Linked DNA regions of Rhinolophus ferrumequinum. The protein of the gene in region 1 interacts with the protein of each later gene in a biochemical or structural test. Links are inferred from orthologs where the notes say so. Each region holds a gene or a part of one and is shown in the gene's direction. Other genes may lie near its edges. The genes, in order: MTOR, EIF4EBP1 and RPS6KB1.

Evidence for each region.
Region 2: of the proteins of MTOR (region 1) and EIF4EBP1, one has a biochemical effect on the other in vitro, tested with the Homo sapiens proteins (29 studies listed by BioGRID and IntAct, with this or other methods). The link is inferred for Rhinolophus ferrumequinum from reciprocal best matches to the Homo sapiens genes MTOR and EIF4EBP1.
Region 3: of the proteins of MTOR (region 1) and RPS6KB1, one has a biochemical effect on the other in vitro, tested with the Homo sapiens proteins (18 studies listed by BioGRID and IntAct, with this or other methods). The link is inferred for Rhinolophus ferrumequinum from reciprocal best matches to the Homo sapiens genes MTOR and RPS6KB1.

The regions. Positions count from the first base shown.
Region 1 is NC_046292.1:7,570,150-7,578,079, reverse strand, and holds the start of MTOR (serine/threonine-protein kinase mTOR), read left to right. Parts: upstream 1-4,887; 5' UTR 4,888-5,019; intron 5,020-6,941; 5' UTR 6,942-6,955; coding exon 6,956-7,117; intron 7,118-7,735; coding exon 7,736-7,844; intron 7,845-7,930. Other genes in the region: UBIAD1 (ubiA prenyltransferase domain-containing protein 1), read right to left, coding at 640-1,168. UniProt on the Homo sapiens protein: Serine/threonine protein kinase which is a central regulator of cellular metabolism, growth and survival in response to hormones, growth factors, nutrients, energy and stress signals.
Region 2 is NC_046287.1:61,504,085-61,511,196, reverse strand, and holds the start of EIF4EBP1 (eukaryotic translation initiation factor 4E-binding protein 1), read left to right. Parts: upstream 1-4,081; 5' UTR 4,082-4,164; coding exon 4,165-4,309; intron 4,310-7,112. UniProt on the Homo sapiens protein: Repressor of translation initiation that regulates EIF4E activity by preventing its assembly into the eIF4F complex: hypophosphorylated form competes with EIF4G1/EIF4G3 and strongly binds to EIF4E, leading to repress translation.
Region 3 is NC_046304.1:26,277,122-26,284,657, reverse strand, and holds the start of RPS6KB1 (ribosomal protein S6 kinase beta-1), read left to right. Parts: upstream 1-4,477; 5' UTR 4,478-4,616; coding exon 4,617-4,757; intron 4,758-5,235; exon of another isoform or gene 5,236-5,356; intron 5,357-7,536. Other genes in the region: TUBD1 (tubulin delta chain), read right to left, coding at 408-624, 1,392-1,539, 3,077-3,248. UniProt on the Homo sapiens protein: Serine/threonine-protein kinase that acts downstream of mTOR signaling in response to growth factors and nutrients to promote cell proliferation, cell growth and cell cycle progression.

The DNA.
Region 1 (7,930 bases):
AGCTGAAAGTATTAGCTGTACAATTTTGAGCTCATCAAAGTTAATTCCACTAAAATTTGAAACTGTGGCATGATAATATATGACCTACAAAAAGGAACTAGATACAAAAAAAATCCATATATTTTTCCATATATATGTATATATACACAGAGGGTGCCAAAAAAATGTATACACATTTCAAGAAAGAAAAACGGTATTAAAATTGTAATAATATTTACCGATAACAAAGATGAATACAAGTCACATTTGATTTCTGCAATTACAAGAGGTGCTCAAAGTGGTTACCATCGGCGTCCAGACACTGCTGATTACAGAGAACTACTGCTTGAGCAATGTTGACCAAATTGTCCACTTGTATATACTTTTTTGGCACCCCCGGTGTATATAGAGATATAGCTATATAATATACATATAAAAATTTTCATTTCTAACATCCAAAAGCCAAGCCAGGATCTTCTCAACCCACTACAATTTTCAAAATAATCCACATGATCCACACAATCTAGATTTCACATAAGTGGCCTAATTGAGAAAAGAATCTTTGACCCATCATCCCTAACCCTATAACTCCTACACAAAGCAGCAGTTTCTAGCACATGCAACTAAGACCTCCAGCACAGGAAACCTGCTAGTTCTTACCTCCTGTGTAGAGGAAGGAGCCAGAAAGGCCTCCAAAGTAGATGAGAGCCAAGTGCTCCAGTTTCAGAGGGGACATGTAGTAGAGGCAAGCGGCACAGACACAGCCCAAAGTGTACAGGAAGACTCCAAACCGCACAACATCCTGGGGCTCCAAGATTCGGTCCACCAGGGTCCTGTCATCACTCTTTTTGTGGTCAATACCCTTGGAAAAGTCATAGTAAGTGTTGACCAAATTGCCAGCCCCGTGCACAGCCAGGACTGCCACGGCACAACCCACCAACAGCCTGGGATCCAGGACGCCCTGGGATCGGTAGGCCAGGGCACTGCCCAGGGCCACCGGGGTGAGTGAGGCACTGAAGCTCCAGGGCCGCAGGGCCAGCACGTAGGAGGCGCACTTCTGCCTCCAGGAACGCTGGAGGGGCCTGTCCCGCTCCGGACAGTCGTTCCCTAGCAGGTCCCTGTCCCCGGCCTTGGCCGACTCTCCCGTCCGGATGCTAATCTTCTCCCCTGGAACTTGCGAGGCCGCCATGGAGGCTGCACGTGGCTGAGCTCAAATGTTAATAGTGAGCCACGCACAGAACAGCGATTGCCGCGGGACCAGGAGGGGCGGGGTGGGACCGCCGGACCTGACCTTCTTCGGTTCCGCCCCGGGGCAGGGCTGGGGAGGCGGCGGGGCCCCGGGGCAGCAGCGAGCGGGCCTGGCAACCCACGAGGCCGGGTGGCACCGCTCGGGCTTCCTGTCACCTGGGCGAAGCCTGTCTCCGGACCCCAGCCCGGCGCTAGAGCCCAAAGCCGAGAAGCACACACTTCCTCGGGACTACCGGGACCGCCATCTTGTGCGCCCGCCTCTGGAGGCCGGCCCGGAAACAGGGGCTGGCCGCGCGCGCTGGGCCGGCCGGGCCGGGCGGAGCCAGGGCTGGGGAGCCGGCGGGAAACCCGCAGTCCAGCCCTTCCTTCGCAGAGGAGGAGCGCGCGCCCAGCGGCTGCGCCCAGTCTCGGTTAGCATCACAAGATCCACCAGGAATGCGTGTGGCTTTCCGACTTAGCAAGAGCTTTCACTCATCGGAAGAGGACTCATTCATTTCTTTTCATGCAACAAGCATTTATTGAGCACGACTGTACGCAGCAGTGAACATAATGGACAAAATCAGGGAGCACATTGAGGGAGATGAGCACATCCCTTCTAGATGAGAAACTTGAAGCTCTGAAATGGGAAATGATGCCTAAGAAATTATTCACTCCAATAATAATCACGACAGCAAAAATTCCCGCTTTCTATTGTACAATTACCAATGCCACATACACTGCAATAACCTGCCTGCCTTTTTAGCCACATTTTAATTTAATATTCGTACAAATATCTGCCCACCCCACCCTATCAGGTGGCCAGCTCTGTGTCTTCATTGCCCATCTTCTGCGAGCTTCTGTAGCTCCTTCTGACTGGAGAAAGCCAATTGTTAGATTTTGGGGAATTTTGTCAGCCGGTCATGAAGCACATCCATTATTAAAAATCAAACTACACAAACTTACAATTAGATAAATTATATTAAAAACAAAGGTAACAAATACTCAAAACATTACTTCCTAATTACTTCACTATGTTTTACCATTTATACTCTTTAGGTTGTTGACATTTGTTGTGGAAATACTATATAACAAGGTGCTACTGCTCATCTCTTCCTAGCTTTTCATTCAGTGACATCAGTTGACAGCTTGAAATCTGCCCTAGTGGGAGTATTTATACCACACAAATCAGCACATGCTTGATAATTGTTTTGTTGATCACCTAGACTTAAGAAAGTGAAGGGGAAAAGTTAATAATGCCAATTAAATTCACAAGTGTGTCAACTCTGTAGCTGTTACATTATGAATAGCAGCAAAAATTTTATGAAATATTCTTCCAGGATTGGAAAATTATTATCCATCCAGCTCAGCAAAGAAGCCTTCATGTCGTTGACAAACTAGTGAATTCTCAAAATATCTCTAAATTAATTCACTTTCCTCTTACTCATTAACATAAAAGAAAGTATCTACCAACATTCATGTTGGAACTACACTCATTGATCAATTGCAAACATAGGGAGGCTACAGAAAACCACAAAAAGCATCCTGTTAGACTCAATTGGCTATGTGCAATTTACAATGAGAAGTATTGTGTATTTATTAAGAATTTCAAGACAGAATATTACAACCTCACAGATCACAATAGCCGTGAAACCAGCCCTATATATACACGTATATTCCTGTCCCCACTTACCAGCCAGCTGGTTGTTAAAGATTTACAACTTTAGCACGTAGCACATATTGCATGCTGGACAAACCCAACTGTCCTATCCTGCCAAATCAGATGAGAAAAAGAAGCAGGTATTTTTAGATCCTGGCTCCATCACTTATGAACTCTAAGATCCAATCCTTCTGTATGCCAGTTTACTCATGGATAAAGTATAAAGTGGGAACAATACAACCTGCCTCTTAGATATGTTCAGAAATAAAAGTAACAACATTTATTGACTGTTCACATGTGTTATATAGTGTTTTAGGTACTTTACATGTATTAATGTTTAACCCCCACAACACTGCCTGCTGAGGTACATATATTATAATCCTTCCAGTTCTATAAATAAGGACATAGATACATAGAGATTAAATACTTGCTCATACAGTTAGTAAGTTTTGGAGCTAAGTTTCAGATTCAGTTACTTTGACTCTGCCCTACTTTTAACCAGTACTCAATAATGTCCACCAAAATGCCTGATACTTTGTAAGTGCTTGATTAATATTAGTAATAGATTATTTTAACATAATGGATAAGAAAGCTCTTTGTAAACTTGAAAAAGAAACCTACAAATGCACTGGTTACTGTTGCTATAAAACCATCTTTGTCAGTTAGAAAACAGAGCCTTATCGTGTCTTAGAGTGGCAAAAATTTCATATGAAATGAAAATTGGTACCTCCCTTATAGAGATCAATTTCATAATATCCATCAAACTACACGTGCATTTACCCTCTGACCCTGGATACCCATTTCTGGATTTTTTGGTATAGCTGCCAGGGAATAAAATTATATACATATGTACAAAGGAATTCATTGCAGCATCATTAGTAATAGCAAGAATTTGGAAACAACACAAGTGTCCATCAACAGAGGACTCGAAAAATAAATTATGGTACATCCATGTAATAGAATACTACTATGGAGCTATAACAACAACGAAGGAACAAGGAAGCTTTCTATATAGTAAGATAGAAAGATCTCTAAGGTACACTAAAATTTTAAAAGTGCAGAACAGGGATCAGTAGGTGGCTCAGTTGGTTAGAGCACGAGCTCTCAACCACAGGGTTGCCGGTTCAACTCCCTCCAAGGGATGGTGGGCTGCGCCCCCTACAACTAACAACGGTGACTGTGGAGCTGAGCTGCGCCCTCCACAAGTAAGACTGAAAGGACAATAACTTGACTTGGAGCTGACGAGTCCTGGGAAAAACACACTGTTCCCCAATAAAAAGTCCTGGAAATACAGTGTTCTTCAATAAAGCCCTTCCCCAATCAAGTCCTTCCCCAATAAAAAAATCTTTAAAAAAAAAAGTGCAGAACAGTGTATATAGTATAACAAAAGGGGAAAATAAAAATGTTTATACTTGCTTGTATTTACATAAATAAAATCTAGGGATATGTTAAGTAAGAAAATAAGTAGTGAAGAGGCAGGGGTGGAGCACAAAATTATATATTGTGATAAATGTAATTTTTATTTATTTTGAGATTTGAACAGTGAATACATTATATTGGAAAATGTTTAATGATTAAATATAGAGATGTTGAACACAAATAAACAATGTGAAATTCAGAGGAACAATTTTCACAGAAGAACCAATGCAATGAAAAGATTCTCGGGTCCATAAGTAGCGCTAGTCTGGAAACACACTCCTCTTAGAATTAAGCCGGGCGAGTTCGCGAACCCCCGCCTACCGCCGCTACCAGGCAGCCGACTAGGCACGGCGCAGCTCCGAGGCAGAGGGGAATAATAGTACCGATGCACCGGATGTGTGCGTGGAAGTGACTGAAGTCAACTCACCACTGATTGGTTCTCCGGAGTGGACTTAAGCCTCCTTTCGCCTGCCACTGGCCGCGTAGTTTGTCTATTTGAGCAGTCCCCGCCCCCTGGAGAAGCCGGGTCCCGAAGCTTCACTTCTCCTTCATTACTATTGGTGTGTGTTTCAATCCATCTTCGCCTTACGCCTGCCGATTGGTTCTTAGGTCTGGGAGCCAGCCCTCCCTGCCGCCGGCTTAGAGGACAGCGAGGAAGGCGGGTGGTAGGGCCCCGGGCCTGAAGCGGTGGTACCGGCGCTGGTGGCGGCAGCTGAGGCCTTGGCCGAAGCCGCGCGGTGAGTCTGGAGCCTGGCACCGACCCATGCAAGGCGGCGGAATGTCCAGACCCACAGCCAGCCTGGTCTGTGGAGGGCCCGGGGAAGCCGCCCTTCTGGGCCCTGGGGTCCCTTCAGAACTGGCCCCAGACTTGGGCGCCGCCTGAGCCCTTAACCCCCACCCTGCGAGGCAACGCCCACCTCCTCCCGGACCCCCAGGAGACCCCTGGATCCTTGAGCCTGCCGTGCGTCTCTGGCTGCGCGAAGGCCGGCCCATCAGCTCCGGTACTATCGGGGAGCCTTTGGGTCTCCTTGTCCGTCAGTCACCCCTTCTTCGGAGCCACCTTACAAATTGTCCTCAGAGAAGACCAGCGTCAGTCTCAGCCCCTTGCACTCCAGTCTGGAGACTTCTCAAGGAACCTTTACCCGGAGCTGAGCTCGGTTCCATCCTTGGGTTTCATCCCTCTGCCTCCCCCGCCCCCATCCCTAGTTTCAGCCACCCAACTTGAACTTCTGTAAGCCCTCCCCAGTTCCCTTAGGGCATTTGACTTCCAGCATTTTAATTGCATTCTGCCTGGAGCAGATGGCCTGTGGGCCTTAGACCTTAAAAAGATAGGCTGGTTCTTTCCTGAGAATAGAAATTCCTTGCCAGCCTCCCTCCCCGTCATCACAGAGGCGCGGTCACACACCCTATAGTAGTTTTCTCATCAGGGATCCTTGGATATTCCCTCCCCTGGAGGAGGACATTTCCTTCTGCAGTCTTTTTTCTGGCACTGGAGTATTTAAAAGGTTTTCAAAACCAATGATTCCGTGTGTTTTTTTCCCTTGACATCGCAAATTCTTTCAAAAATAAGAATTTTGAAAAATTGATATTCTACTATAACCTGAACATACCTAAGTTAGGTATATATGTTACTCCCGTAGCAGTCTGGGCCAACCCCTATTCTGGCCACTTTATTGTGGTTGCCTGATTACTTGTATTTCCCCTTAGATTGTAAGCTCATTGAGGGAACGGACAGGTACATAATTGAGGAATGAATGAATGGTTTCAGGAACTAATCAGTCTCTTTTAGCTCACATTTCAAGTACTAGTATTCTACAGAACTGCACTGTCCAGTACGATAACCACCAGCCATGTGGCTTAGAGCGCATGAAATAATAACCATGTGGCTTAGAGCGCATGAAATGTGACTAGTCTAAATTGAGATTGCCGTTAAGTGTAAAATATACATTAGATTTTGGAGACTTGGTACAAAAAAGAATGGAAAATATATCAATTTTTTATATTGGTAACATGTTGAAATGATAATTTTGGGTATATTGGATTAAATAAAATGTATTAATATTGCCTGTTCTTACCTTTTTGATATGGCTACTAGGAAATTTAAAATTACATTTGTGGTTTGTGTTATATTTCTGTTGGACAATGCTGCTATGGAATAAAAATTTCCCTCTTTAAATTGAACTCTCTGAGGAAAGGCAGTCTTAGGCATGTTTTATTCTCTCTCTACCTCCCCACCTCTAGTTTCTGGCACTATAATAATAGCTAACAGAACTCACTGTGTGCCCGGCACTGTTTTAAATACTTTTTAACATGTATTAACTCATTTAATCCTCACGTCAACCCTATGAATTAGGTAGTAGTATTCCCCTATTGCAATGGAGGAAATAGATATTTCAAGTATCTTCTCAAGGTACATAGTTTTGGACTGGATTCAAATGCAGGTAGTGTGGCTCTGCAGCCGGCAATTTGACCCTGTTACTACGCTGCCTCTGAAACATCAGTCATTATTGAATAAATAGTGGCTTTCTCCACTTTCCTTAGTGAAGTCTCCCTGCCTGACATGGACAGGGTGGAGATCGGTATGGAGAAACTGGAGTCGTAAATAAACTCACTGCCCTAGTTTGTTAACCAGGATTTTAAAGGAAGCTTCTCTTCAAAGAACCTCAGGGCAAGATGCTTGGAACCGGACCTGCTGTCGCCACCACAGCCGCCACCACATCCAGCAACGTGAGTGTTCTGCAGCAGTTTGCCAGCGGCCTGAAGAGCCGGAATGAGGAGACCAGAGCCAAAGCTGCCAAGGAGCTCCAGCACTACGTCACCATGGAGCTTCGAGAGGTGGGGGCTTCTGCCATCTGGGGCCATCCCTGGCGTGTTGGGGCAAAGTGTGCCATCACTGGCTTAGATTTCTTTGGACAGCTCAGTGAGATTCTGTTTGAGAGATGCACCCAGTTTCTCGTGTCATAGAATGGGCAATTTCCTTTGCCGTGGTTACACAGTTCTGTGGCATTTCCTATTTTGTAGTGACATTTTAGGAGTCAGCATAGAGAGTTATTTTTAAAATTTGTTTTCTTTTCCCCACTGCATTCCAGATCTTCAATTCTTTCTGCTTGATAACAGTGGTCGGGACGGGTTTGGAGAGCTGGTAGCTTGGGGCTTTTTAAACAGTAACCAGACTGGAGGTCAGGGACACTGTCTCGTTCATCCTTGTACCCCTGGGACAGGACGTGGCTTGCCGTGGAATTTACTCAATAAGTATGTTAAACAGACAGGCGAATTGAGAGTTCAGTTGCTCTACAGTTTAAAACTAGAAATGGGCAGTAGCTTTGTCACGTCTGGTTTGAACTGTACCTGCTGGCTACCTCTCACGTCCTAATCTTTGGATGTGACCCCTCACCCCCATCCTCACCATCAGGGCGACATTAGAAATTGTTCTGAGTTCATCCTCCTTTGCAGATGAGTCAAGAGGAGTCTACTCGTTTCTATGATCAGCTGAACCATCACATTTTTGAACTGGTTTCCAGCTCAGATGCCAATGAGAGAAAAGGTGGCATCTTGGCCATAGGTAAGGACAGAGTCTTTGGTGACAATAACAACTGGGAATAAAGGACTGTTTACCTTTGAGTCCACTGCACCCCGTGTCTGCTGCTT
Region 2 (7,112 bases), on another chromosome or scaffold:
CCTAAGAACATGCTCTTGAGGTCCAGGTAAACATTGCAGACACTGCTCTAAGCCGCTAAAATTTTTTTACAAACCCTTGAGCCCAGGAACCATATTAAAACGTTGAATCCACCATTGGGAATCCTTCATGTTAGCTTGTGTGTCCTGTCGCTATGGCCCTATCATCTTTAGAAACTCCTATGTATGATAAGGACTTCCTATACTTTCTGCCCCAGATCAAGATTCAATCATTTTAAAATAAAAAATAAAAAAAAACAGGCAGATTCTCCATTGACTCGAGAATAACACTATGGATGAAAAGAAAGAGATCTTACTGTGAGAAATAGCCTTGTCACTGAGTTTATGGGAAGCAAAGCAGAACTGAGAGTCACGGCGTCACCACTGGTGAGCGCCAAGGGGCTGAATATTGGGAGCCAAAAGGCACAGAGTGGAGGTGTTCGTCAGCCGATAACTCGGGTTTGCAAGCAGGGCTAAGCAAAATGACAAAATAGGAGAGAGAGAGAGAAAACAAACATGTTAACCAGGATGAGGATGGACAAGGCCCACGAGGCCACTCACCAAGCCCACCAGGCCCCTCCAGGCTTGCTCAGGGCTAGTCTTCATTCCAATCACATCGATTAACCTCAAAAAGCATTTCCTACCAGAAAGACCGGTCCTGTGTGCCTGTCAGTGAAGAGAGCATGACTGCATGCAGGGATACTGCAAATCCATCTGCAATGGAAACAGAGCTCCAGAAGAAAGGCTGAATCGTATGCGGGGCGGGAAGTATAGAAGAAGAGCCCAGGACCCCTTATCATATAAGAAAGTACAGGAACCTCCAAAGACCCCTGGGGCCATGGTGACAGGACATGCTAGCTAATGTGAAGGACTCCCAATGTTGAAGGGGGAACATTTTCAGCATCAAATAACATTAGGAAAGGATTATTAATAAAACAAACATGCCAGGTCCCTTCTCTCCCACTACTTCCCTTACTCCCTAACAACCCCTCCCTAGCCTAAGGGGCTTTGAAGTCAGTCTCTATTGCACTATGACTCAGTGAATCTGGAAGCATCTCTCACTCTTACAGCTCCTGTTACTCCCTCCCCAGGCAGCCACTCCTGGGGACCCTCTCTTGGCACTTCCCACTGCTCCAGTTCAACAGATCTGTGTTGAGACAAACCCTGGGGAAGGGCCAGGGCCTGCTTAGGTCTGTTCTTTGTTTCCATTGATATTTTTTGTTAACTTCACAAAGCATTTCATACCAGAAGGCCTATGTGCCTGGTTGGCTATCCAGAAAAATTCTACTTAAAATCTGCCCCTTGTCCCTCCCTCCCTAGAGGTCAAGTAGAGCAAGATGGGATGGAAACTGTTCTCCACTGTGTCCCGCTCCTTATCTTATTCTTCTTGAAAACATCCCTTGCCACATTCTGCTTTATTTTGACCTCCAGCTAGAATTGCCAGAACAGTCATAAGCTAATAGATTTAAAAGACCTTCGAAGAGAAGACAGAAATAAACATGCAGCTGAGCACCCAGATGTATTATCAATAGCCTCTCTAAGGTAAGGGCTGTCAAGAGTGAGAATGAGTAAACACATGCCACTGGTGCCACCAATTAATCTTTTTAAAAGACAACTCTCATCATGCCCTATAGAAGTTGATACTTGATTATAAAACTTGATATGAATGAGTCCCTGCTCTATAAAGAGGTAGAAACCATCAAAGGTGAAATGGCTGGACAGGAAACAGAATTCAGCAGTGAGTTTGTCAAAGACAAAAAATGTCACTGCTGAGCGTTCTCAGAGATCTTTAAAGCCACCCCCATCCCCCCTCTGTGACAGATAATGAAACTGAGGCCCATAAAGGGGAAGGGACTTGTCCAAGACTGAACACGTATTTAGTGGCCGCACTGGGGCTAAACCCACACCCCTCAGCCCAGGCCAGTGCTCCTCCTATATCCACGAGGGTCCCCAGGTCTAGTCAGCCCTCAGCCCTCTGGCTCCTCTAAAGCCCTTAGACTTTCCTCATCAGCCCTCCACAGCCCTATGAGCAGAGGTCATTGCAAGCCCCTTCCCTTCTCAGCTAACCAAACACGCAAGTCCAATGAGGCACCAGACGAAACCCCCTTTTAGAACAGTTCCTCCCAAGGGGGGAGAATGGGCGCTTTGTTTTCTAGTGTGATGAGAAAAGAGTTGGTCTGGAAGGGAGTGAGACCGGGTTCCAGTGCTGCCTCAAGCATTTTACTGCTGTGTGTTCTTGGATAAAACTCTGCTCCTCAGGATTTTTTGTTTTTGTTTATTTTTCAATAAGATGGAGGTGAATATGGTTCTGGATGATTTATAAGGTACCTGGCCATATCTAAAATTTGATGATTCCATAGTTTTTTGGGAGGAAGTTTCTGAGAAAAACTTTAAGATTGCTTTCATACCACCTCATCCTACAGCAGCGCTAACCAATAGAAATATATTACGATATATATATATATATAATTCTTATAGTCCCACTAAAAAAGTAAAAAGAAACAGGTGAAATTAATTTTAATAATAGATTTCATTTCACCCAATATATTCAAAATATTATTTCAATATGTAATTAATATAAAACAAATTATTAAGATATTTTACATTACTTTTTCACACTGAATCTTTGAAATCTAGTGTGTATTTTATACTTATGAATATGGACTGGCCGTATTTCAAGTGCTTCAGAGGCATGTGTGCCCAGTGGCTACCTTACTAGACAGGCCTAGAGTTTAACTCAGGAGTGACCTATCTTAGGCCTCCACCTCCTGTGGTCCATTCTCAAACTCCATGGTCACCAGTTAGTTATCTTTCTAAAAAAACAACACTAGGGCCAGCCCGGTGGCTCAGGTGGTTGGAGCTCCATGCTCCTAACACCGAAGGAGGCAGGTTGGATTCCCACATGGGCCAGTGGGCTCTCAACCATAAGGCTCCTGGTTCAATTCCTCAACTTCCACAAGGGATGGTGGGCTGTGCCCCCTGCAACTAACAACAGCAACTGGACCAGGAACTCAGCTGCGCCCTCCACAACTAAGACTGAAAGGACAACTTGACTTGGAAAAAGTCCTGGAAGTACACACTGTTCCCCAATAAAGTTCTGTTCCCCTTCCCCAAAAAAATCTTTATTTAAAAACAAACAAACAAAAAAAAAAAACACTAATAACCCCACTCCCCAGCTTAAAAGATCGCCGATATCTCCTCCTCTTGTAGGACAAAGTCTGAACACCCTGGCATGATTCACAATCCCACCCCAATTTTCCTTTTAAACTGTTCTCTTCTCTCCCTTTCCAAGATGTGGCGACAATGACAGAAACTGCTTGCTCACCCAGCAGGCTTTTCCGTCTTCCTTGCATTTTTTTCCTCTCCACTAAGGGATCTCCTTGAAGATTCATTGTTTCATCCACTCAAGGAGTATCTACTAAATGTCAGGCAGTCTGTGGGTCGTTGAACCCAAACAAGTCTACTTTCTTTGATCACCTACCTCTCCCCAACCCCAACCTCCATCTGGCTCAGGGTTTAGCTCTACCACCCAGCTGTGTGGTTTATCCACGTGTCCTAGCACACTGTCTCCAAAGCCGTGGAGCGAGAATTCTTGCCCATTTCTTCAACGCCCGCCACATTGTGAATGCTCAGTAAACCGAACAACAACGAGAGAAGAAACAGTCAATCCCCACTTTTTCATCTGAGAAGCTAAAGCACTGAACCAGGAGGGTTGGGGGAACATCCGGCCTGATGTCCTAATGCGGGGCTTCCTAAACTGGCCCGAGTGGTCTAGGATCCCCATACAACCGGGAGAAGCGCCCCCGACCCAGCGAGGCATTAACCTAGGCAAGCTTCCCCACTCCCCACGCCCACTTCGTCCCCGCCGGCGTGGCCTGGAGGGGCCCGGGACCTAAAGAGGCCGGCAAAAGTAGGGCGGCGCTGGCACCGGCGCTCAGTAGACTGTCGGAAAGCGGCCTCCCATCCAAGGATACAGGGAAACCCACGTGGAGGCAGAAGCTCCGAGGCGGGTGGGCGGAGGCATCGCTGGAACTACAAATCCCAAGGGGCGTCGAGCGGAAAAGACGGAAGGGACGGTCTTAGGCGGGGCCCGCGGGAGCGAGGCGGAGCAAGGCAGGAGGGGCAGGAGGACCACGCTCCTGCTGCCGGAGCTGCGCGCGGGCGACCATGTCCGGGGGCAGCAGCTGCAGCCAGACCCCAAGCCGGGCCATCCCCGCCACTCGCCGGGTGGTCCTCAGTGACGGCGTGCAGCTGCCGCCCGGGGACTACAGTACCACCCCCGGTGGCACGCTCTTCAGCACCACTCCCGGAGGTAGGCGCGGGCTCTGGGGCTCCAGGTGCTGGCGGTGGGGAGGACGGACTGGGCAGATCGGGGGACTCGGCAGCCGCCCATTGAACTGGGCAACCAGGTTCAGGGGCGCGGTGACTGGGAAGAACGGGTAAGTGGAATCAGGGAGGCAGCGAGGGCCACAGGGAGCGAGCTGGTGGCCACCTCCCGTTGCCTGCCCTCTGGGTGCGTCCTCCAGCGCCGGGTTGCAAACTGCCGCATTAGTTTCCTCCTGGTCTGAGAGACAGCTGAGTGCCTCCCACCCAAACAGATGCACACGCTTCCAGGACTGCCACATGCCGAGGCGTGCTGCCCCTCGTGGTGTTGGGGGCAGTTCTGAGGCCGAATACGGTGGGGTCTGGATGGCCCACGGATCAAGGAGAGGCTTGGCCTGGGTTTTTTAAAGGATGGGACGGGGGTTCTCTGTTGGGATAAATGCCTCATGCAGAGTCCTTTTTCCTTCTCAAGTTATCCCCCGGTTTTGTGTCGGGTATGCACCCTCTGACGAAGGTTTTGGGCTGAGGGTATGCTCCTGTGCCAGCAGCACCTCGTCGGCACCTGTGCCAGATTTCCCATTTACGCTTCTGGGATCTCCGCGGGGGGACCTGGGGCGGCCGGCTGGGCTGTGCAGAAAAACACGTTCTTCTCTCCGGGGGGAGGGGGTGCCGTGTGACCTGGCTGAGTGGATGAGGAAGAGGAAGCTGAGCTGGCACGGGTGGGGGCCAGCCTTGGGCTGCCCTCGGAAGCCAGGCATTCCCTCCCAGCCCCGAAGCCCTGGCGCACAGGCGCTGATGAAACCTGCCCGCCTGTTTGCATAATGAAATCCTCCTCGCGGCTCACCACTTCCCTCCCATCCTCTTACTGCCCTCACCCCTTTTGCCCTTCTTCCCTCCCCTACACCCGCCTGCACCGCTCCTTCTCAAACTACTCACCCGAAAGAGGCCGCAGGTCCTGGCGCTGCGCTGAGAGACCAGGGTGAGGACCGACGCAGGCGGGGCTCAGCCTCCTCTGCCAGCGTCGGGGGCCACATGCTTATTTTCTCAGGCAGCTGTCCCACCACCAACGAGCACAGCCAGATCCAAGGTCTTAGGCTGTTTGATTCAAAACATACAAAGTTAGAATTATTAGGGATCTTAGATTTTTTGTCCAGCCGTGCAATCTTATTCTACAGAACATGACACCGAGGCCCCAAAGCTTAAATGCGCGTGTTCATTGTCCAGTGTCATACTGTTTTCCCCAAAACTGAACAAAAAAACAAAAAATAGCAGCCAAGCATAGAGAGAACTGCTCTCTCTCTCCTATTAAAAATGACCTGAGGAAAAGTTCCCAGCTACTCTTCTTGCCATTCTTGACTCATTCTTGGCCAAGAATTCTCGTTCCACGGCTTTATGTAGTCCATGCTGTTCTGCTTCTTTTGCCCTCATGATGTGTCTGCCATGACCTTTCCTGACAATTTGGGGATTCTTTCAAATAAAAGTGTGAATCTGCTTGATCTGTTCAGGTGGGTACTGAGGTAGGCCTGACGGCTCAAGAAGCCCTCTTTTGCACCTTTTGTTGCTGGTTGGGGACAGATCAACTTGGAAGCAATACCCAGTGATACTCTTTATAGGAAACTCTCCACTTCTCACTTTGGACTGGGAAATGGGTGGGTTTTGGCAGACCACAGCAAATTCTCTTCTCATTGAATGTCTTTAGTTGGGAGAGGGGCGTCTGCATCGTAATGTAACTTACTTTGGGAGGCCAATTGGAAGAAATCTAGCAGTGACCTAAAGCCAGGTCTTTCTTGTCGGGTGTCCAGTGGGGAAGGTATACAGCTCACAGTCCATAACCAGAGAATCCTGACGTGTTTCTGCCTCAGTTAGCAAATCTGGCCTGCCACAGTTAGCCAAGGTGTGAAATCTTCCTCCAAAACCCATTTACCCTTCCCTTTGCCAGGGCAGAGCAGCTTAACCTAATGAGAAAAGGCCATTCTGGTGCCCTTTTGGTCTACTCTAGAGGGCTCTTACTCAGTTTTCAGTGTGCATACAAATTACCTGGAGACCTCTGTTACATGTAGATTCTGATTCTGTAGGTTCTGGGATAGGGCCTGAGATTTTGCATTTCTAACTAGGTCCCAGTGATTGATCTAAATCTCACACTCTGAGCACAGTAGTCCCTCTTTACCCATCCATGGTTTCGCGTTCCTTGGTTTATTGCCCATGGTCCAAAAATAGTAAATGGAAAATTCCAGATATAAACAATTCATCAGTTTGAAATTGTACACCATTGTGAGTTAGCAATATGAAATCTTGTGCCACCCTTCTCTCACCCTTCTCTGTCCCGCCTGTGCAGTGAATTATCCCTCTGTCCAGCATATCTACCACGTCTATGCTACATGCCCGTTAGTCACAGGGTTTGGTACTATCTGTGGTTTCAGGCATCCACTGGGGGTCTTGGAATGTAACTTCCCTCACCTTTTCAGACCTTTGGGGTCTGGTAAAAAAAAATGATGATTCTCTCAAGGTTGGGTTTGGCATCAATCTGTAAACCAGGGTCTGGCGAGAGAGTCTGCATGGGTGCTCGCACTCACTTATTTGCAGGAGGTGTCAGGAGCTGTTGAAGTAAGTGTCCAGCAGTCACTCTTGCTGGGAATGGCACTGCACTGTTTGTCCGTGGAGGGAAAGGTGCAGCAGTTGATTTGAGCCATCTCCATTTATGACTCCAGTTTACTTTCCATGGTCATTAACCTGCCCACAGGCTGAGCCACTGATCTGAAGTTAGATGTCTGGAGAATGTTAGAGAAATTTGC
Region 3 (7,536 bases), on another chromosome or scaffold:
GTTTTAGTATTTCTCCTACTAGGCTGGTCAACAAGAAATGGGCCTATATAGAAATTTCCTTGTAATGGAGAGAAATGAAAATTCTTTGAAGGTTGGCAATGGCATGATGCCCCCTAACATGAAGTCAAGGTCCCTGCTTTACATACTAGAGACAGAAGGATTAACTCAGGAATGGATTCCTAAGAGAAAATGCACAATTGTCTTCTTTGAAAATTTTAAAAACAGGGACACTTCATTTGTTTGGAAAAGTTAAAGCAAAGTTAAATGAATTGTTCACGCAACTACCATATTGCATAATCACTCCTGACACAGTAACTTAGCATTTCCAAAGAAAGGGTCAGATCAGTCTTTTACCTACATTGATTTCAACAGCAAGGAATACAAAATATAAAAAATTCAGTTCATACCTCACCAGTTCCATAAGGCCATATAATCTGATTCATTTTCAAAGAGCTGGAGTACTGATCCTGTAAATTCTGTGTAACAAAGGCTCCTAGTCCTGATCCTGTACCCCCAGCCATACTCATTATGATGAAAAAACCACTCAAAGAGTCACATTTCTCCGCTTCCTTCTGGATTAGGTTCAATATAGGTTCTTCATGCCTGGGTCCATGAACAGAGTAACTATGCAATGCAAAAGGAACAAATGCAAACACCTTTCAATTTAACCAGAGAGATGCAATGCAGAATAGAGAAGTCTTTTTAAACCTAGGGAAGTGAACTAACTCTCATGAAAGGCACAAAATTTAAAATATTCAAGTTAAAGATATTTAACAGGTAGATAGGACTGTTAAGAGAGTGAATTTACTGGGTACAGAAATTCTCTTTTATAGGCCACTCCTTTAGCTGTAGACTTCAATTACCAGGTAGTTCTGTAAGTTTATGGTACAACATAATATTCGATGTTCTTAACAATACACCTTAAACAGTGGTTCTTGAAATTTGCTGCACATTCCAATCACCTAAGGAAGCTTTGAAAAATCCCAACATCCAGGCTTCATGTCAAACCAATTAAATCAGAATTTCTCGAATTGAGCCCTAGGCACTGAAATTTTCCAAAGAACCCAGGAAACACTACTGCCCTGCTGTATCCCATATTAGCTGGAATACCTGCCAGATAAAGATATTATATTGATAATAAGTTAGTTGGCAGAACGACTGTGAAGAAGTGGAAAACCCTACTGCAAGAGATCCTTGGTTTCATCATTGTTTGGACCTGAAGCATATACATACGTAAGGTAGAATTTCTTTTGAGTGAAGTCACACCCTAAATTTTAAAATAGCAATTTAAAGATTCTTTGCTCAGTATATCAACTTTTTACTTGTAACTACACTATTTATTAATTGACTATGTAGCTGTACCTAAACTGAAAATCATGAGTTATTCTTACCCATATGCCCAGTTGTTTCCAGAACCTTGTTTTTGACAGAAGCCTGAATGCTGGCCATATTTCCATCGGCCAGACTGGGCAGCCTTTAGTAATGTTTGATTGATAACTTTAGGTTCCATGTCAACAAGTACAGCTCGAGCAATTGGAACTAGAGAGGGGGGAAAAATATTTCACAGTCTTATTTGGGTTAACACAGAGCATAAACTCCTAAGTACAAAAAAAAACCCCAAAGGTTGAGGATACAAAGATCTGTCACACTGCTTAGAAATTGAGGTGGGCAGCAGCAGGTATGTACAGATGGTTCAGAATGCCTAGCATTCTGCTAAGCAGGATGAATCAGTGTGGGCTAAAATAATCACTGGGTCAGGTCTACAAACATCTGTTGCATTCTTACATAATGTAACATGTACTGTGCTGGGAACACAGAGATGAAGATCAATCCAGCCCTAGAAGGACTAGTGGGAGAAATGAAAGACATCGACGCTTAATCACTATATCAGGTGATATGACCCATGACGAATCTACAGTGATAGAATAGCATATTCAGAGGTACAAAATACCCAGGGCACACAAGCAGTTTAGGATTGTTGAAGCAAAAGATGGAGAAGGAGGGGGTAGAAGTGATGGACGGAGATGGAAAGCAGGCAGGACTCAGATCTTGAAAGTCCTTGTATGCAATCAAAGCTTGAAATTTATCTTTTACGTTATGTGAAACCACTGAAAATGTTCAAGCAGGGGAGGAACAGTCAGATTTAAAAAAAAAATTTTTTTAATACAGCAGTGTGGAGGATAGCTATGATAGACACAAGAGTGTAGGCAGGGAAACTCAGAAGGACTGTCTTGAAACAATCCAGGTGAGAGAAAACAAGAGCCAGAACTAAGTCCATGACAGTGAAGATGGAAAGGCAAGAAGAATTTCAAGAGATATGGAGGAAGTAAATTAAGCAGATGTCTGATGTTATGTGTATAGTAGGAGCCCAAGTTTTAAAGGAAAGATAATGAATGATCTTGGGTATGGAGATGTTGAATTTGAGGTACACATGGGAGATGCAGGTGAGTATGTCCACTAATCAGTCGGCAGCTTGGAAGAGAAGCTAGGCTAGAGATTTGAGAGTCACCAGTGTAAAAGATGTAGCACTTAGAAGAATAATTGAAATTGCCTAGAGAGAACTATACAAATCAGGACAGAGAGCCTGCGGTGCAACCACTGGAGAAGAAAACTTCAGACAGTAAGGAGGAGTTTTATAATTAATGTTATCAAATCCAGTAGAAAAGTTAAGTGAATTAAAACAAAAATAGTCATTGGATCTGGTAATTAGGAGATCATTGGGAACTTTTCTCAGAGCAGCTTTAGAAGTGAAGAAGGGCAGAAGCAGGATTATAGTTGGTTAAAGAGGGTTCTCCTTTGAGAATCTTAGATGAGAAGCAAAGGTAAGAGAAGAAAAAAGCTATAGACGAGAGATACGTTTTGTTTGTTTTTAGATTGGCAGGGTCTGAGCATGCTCTTGTGCTGAGGGGAAGATGCCACGGTAGGGGCAAATGTTGTTAACATAGAAACAAAGAGTCAAGAGCAAAGTCATTCCCTAGTAAGATGGGAAAGTATGGGGTTCAGACACCACGTGGATGGCCTGGCCTTGAAGTGGTTGGTTATGTCAGAGTAAAAGAGGACTGTGGACCACACATACCTCCATTTTCCTCCTCACTGAAGAATCTTTCTTTGCAAGACGCTTGATATGCTTCATTCTCTCTTTTAGAGCAGAGTCTCTGGGGACAGTGTGAGTCACTAAATAAAGCATCAAACACTTCAAAACCAATCTGATTGCCACACTGACCAAGTTGCAGTGTTACTATTGACATGTTGAGGCCTGACAAACTAGGCCTATTTCCTCAAAAAAGTGAGGAACCAACCTGTAATAGAAAAAAGATAGGTGTTGAGAACTACATTACTAATAAAGAATAAAATGCTATATGTTAATATACATCAATAAAATATATATAATTTTAAAATGCCATATATGTATATGGTTTTATAGATGAAATAGCTATGTTGTCTAAGATGCCAATCATTCAAGGAAATTATTCTCTTTCTCCATATGGCTTTGGGATTTGGGATTTACTGTACCCAAATCCATTCACACACAGCTCAATAGTTTCCAAAATCTGATTTCTAATCACTATATTCCTATGTATACATTTAAACAAAACAAGATGAATGCTAGTTGAAGGAATAAATACTATACATTTCCCACCATAGGAACACACAGAATGCAGAAATTAGTTCAGAAGTTAGTACATGTACTTAACATTAATTCTCTTCTGAATAATGACTTTCTTCACCAATCACCTTTCTGGCCTGGTAACTACAGTAACACTTATAAGGAAGACTTTGTGTTTAGCTCAGGTAGGACAGCAAGGAAGATGAAGCTTGGAAAAACTAGACCAGATGAAACATTAGAGCAGGTCTTCATTATTTTTTAACAATGAAAAGAAACAAGTTTTGGTGAACGCCTCACACCAGGTCTATGCAGCAGTGAAAAGAGCAGTGGCTTGTGAGTCACACTCTGCAGTTACAATTTTCAAACAACCCTGCAAACTAGGTACCATGATTCTCATTTTATAGATAAGGAAACTGAGTTTCTGAAAGGTTATGTGACTTTCGCAAGGCTACTGAACTAGTAAATAGCAAAACCAAGACTCCCTTTCCCCACCAACCCTAGGAGTTCCCCATTAAGCCCACTCACTGACAGCCCCAGGACCAGCCGTTTCTATCCTGTTCAAACTTCAGAGGACCATCATGCGCATGCTCACTTTCAACACCCAAAAAGCTATGGAAAACGAATGCGCATGTTCCACAAACGAAGAGTGTTGTGGGCTTTTTTTTTTTCCCTATTCAGAAAGGTTAATTACGCATGTTCAATTTCAATTTATCAACTTCAGACACGTTACGCATGCTCACTGTCCATCAAAAGCTTTAGCTGACAATGCGCATGGTCTAGATTCCAAGAGAGGCTTCGGCTGGGGTTCTGCGCATGTTTCTGCCCGTACCTGGCTCTTGGGGATAGTTCTACGCATGTTCATTGCCCACAGTTCGGCTTCAAAAAACCCTGTACGCATGCTCTAGCGCTGAATTTGAGGAGCAAGTCTAAGGCCTAGGCGCAGACGCACTGAGCCTAAGCAGCCGGTGATGGCGGCAGCGGCGGCAGTGGCTGCGGCGGGTCCGGGCCCATGAGGCGACGACGGAGGCGGGACGGCTTTTACCCAGCGCCGGACTTCCGAGACAGGGAAGCTGAGGACATGGCAGGAGTGTTTGACATAGACCTGGACCAGCCAGAGGACGCGGGCTCTGAGGATGAGCTGGAGGAGGGGGTGAGGCCCGAGGTCCCGGGGGGCCCGAGGTGACAGGGCTGGGGCGGCGGCGCGGGCCCTGGAAGTCGGGCGCGTCCGAGAGCGCAGAGACCCAGGGGGCGCGAGAAGTCTCCAGGAGGAGCTGAAGCGCCGCGCGGCCCGAGGCAGGGGAGCGGGCGGGGCGGACCTGGCCCTAGGTGTGAGGCCGCTGCGGGGCTCGCAGGTGCAGGTCGCGCCCCTAGCTCTAGATCAGCGCAGCCCGGAGCAGTCTGTGGAGCGAACGAAAAGGCGCGTGGTCGATTTCTCCAGCTGTTCGACTTGAGTGTGGCGGGCCGTGAGTGGTGTAGCGTGTGTTGGGGGAGGGGGACTGCGCTTGCTGGGTGTCCCGTAAGTGCAGGTGAAGTGCGGAAGGGTTTCCCTCCGAGTGTAAGATTTCAAGCATTAAATCTTCAGACCTCCCACAACCACCTCTCTTCTCGGCCTGTCGCTTCTCTCCTAGGAAGCGCTCAGCTGTTAGAAGTGACAGCTGAAAACTTCTGTCGGGAGTAGCGCTGCCTCTGCTGTTACAGCCACCAGGAGTTTTATTTCGGGAGCAAGGGGGCTCTGCTGCATCTTCCAGGGTTTGTTTGTTTGCTTTTTTTTTTTAACCCCCTTCCGTGTGACTTTTTAAAAAACGCTTTTATAACGACACACGGTGTTTGTAACTTACATTTCCCCCAGTTGAAGATGTCTACATTTTTTCAAAATACTTTCTGTAATTTTGGGGTGGAAAAAAACCCAGCGTTGACAGCTGTGATTTGGCTTGCCAAAAATAAATTGCTTGAACGGAGACTTGTGAATGGTGGTGTGAGGGCTTTCCTTGCTGTAATTTAGGGTGCTAAATTTAGAATTGTTTTTCCTAATGCATAGCTTGGTTTCACCTTTGCTGTCTTAGTAGCTTGTTATTCTTTATGGAATAGCACTCGTATTTCAAGACAAATTTATTGAAAAAATCACAAATTATACCTAAGTTAAAGAATGGTGTTGTTATACAAAATAACTAATTCTGGGCAATTGATCATGTATAATCTCGTGGTAATTTAGAGTCTAAATTCCATTGTCTAGATGAGTACACATGGGTTGATGACTGATGTAAGATGTTTGTTCTAACTACATAAGGGGCTTCCCTTTCTTTCCCTCACTCATTTTTCTTCCTCTGGCAAGTAAGTTGTGCCCTGCTTGTTGACAAAAGATTGAGATGCTATGTATACAGAACTTTGGAAGCTTGATGAAACTAACTGGGCTAAAATAGTTGATCTTTTCATAATCAAATGAGTCTAAATCAAAATTACACAGTTTGGAAGGTGGGTATTGAGATGTGTATTTTTTAATATGTTTGCATATGGAATTCCAGTTTGCCTCTTAATTGAACATGTGATACACTAATTACAATTGGAAACAAAATGGGATTACTTTCATTACATATATAATCCTCTCATCAATTATATTGGCTCCATATGGCAGTGGCTTTGAAGCAGGGCAGGGGAGAAAACTTGATAGGAAGGATGCTTTATAAAATCTTCATTAGGTGAACTGATAGAATTTCCAGGCCATGGGTTCATCAGGAGAAGTTAAAGGAGTTGGAAGTAAAATACTGTATTAAGATTCCTGTTATGAACTGGAACCTCGTAGGATTTGGGCCTATTCCTGGACATTTGTTTTGCTGGGTACAAGCAAATAGGACTGTGAGAGGGTGTGGAAGAGGAGGCCAGAAAAATTGATGGAAATAGGAAAGAGAAAGAAATGTGGCCATTATTCTAGGGAGAGGAACTTTGGGGAAAGAGCAAAGGTAATTAAAGAGGACTTTGAGAAAGCTTTCGGCAAATTATATTATATTTTAGCAATGCTTTTGGAGTTGAAAATGTTTCTTTTGAGTGTGTTATTCTAATAGGTGCCTCACGGTGGAAAAGAGTTGGAGTGGGATTGGGCTGGCCACCCAAGGAGATTAAGTGACATCCAGGTTCCTCTAAAATAAAATTGTAAAATTTTGAAAAAATGAGACAAGTTTAGATTTTTGGAAAATCGGGCTTTTGTGAATTTATAATTATATAAGTAATATTCTGGCTGCTTGTGAATTTATAATCTTTAGTTTAACACAAACTTTTTAAAACATTGGTATCATATCAGATACCATTGGTAACATATCAGAGTAGCCTCCCTTCTTCGTTTGATAGTAAGGAAACTGAGGCATAGGCCAGAGAGATGATTGCCCAAGGCCATATAGGTAACTGGTGGTAGTGTCTTGTGACTCAATTCAGCAAGCTTCACTGTACAGCTTTTTCATTGCATTTATTAGTCTTGTTCATAATGTACCTCTTTGTGGTGTGTCAAAGTGAATTCAGATCCTTCCAGGTATGCTCACTGACGATGTGACCTAGAACAAATTGCTTAATCTCTAACACTTTTTTTTCTCTGTAAAATGATGATTGCATTAGATAAAGTGTATACAGTACTCCAAAATATCATGGCATATTAAGCAGTTAGCTAGTTCTTGGAAATAAAGCTTGTCAGTGCTACGCATTGCCAAGGAACCAATCATTCAAGTTTACTCTCCTCTATGCCTAGAGACTTAATAAATACAGTTATACTAGAAGGGCTGTACTTTTAGAGCTTTGTATCTTTTTTTTTTTTTAAATTAAATCATTGGTCCTATTTAGAGATACATGCCTACACTGAGTCGGTCTGTATTAGTAAGTAATATGTATTTACATAGCATAGTTAATTCTTCAGTGAATAAAAGATGAGGAGAGTAATTTAAAGT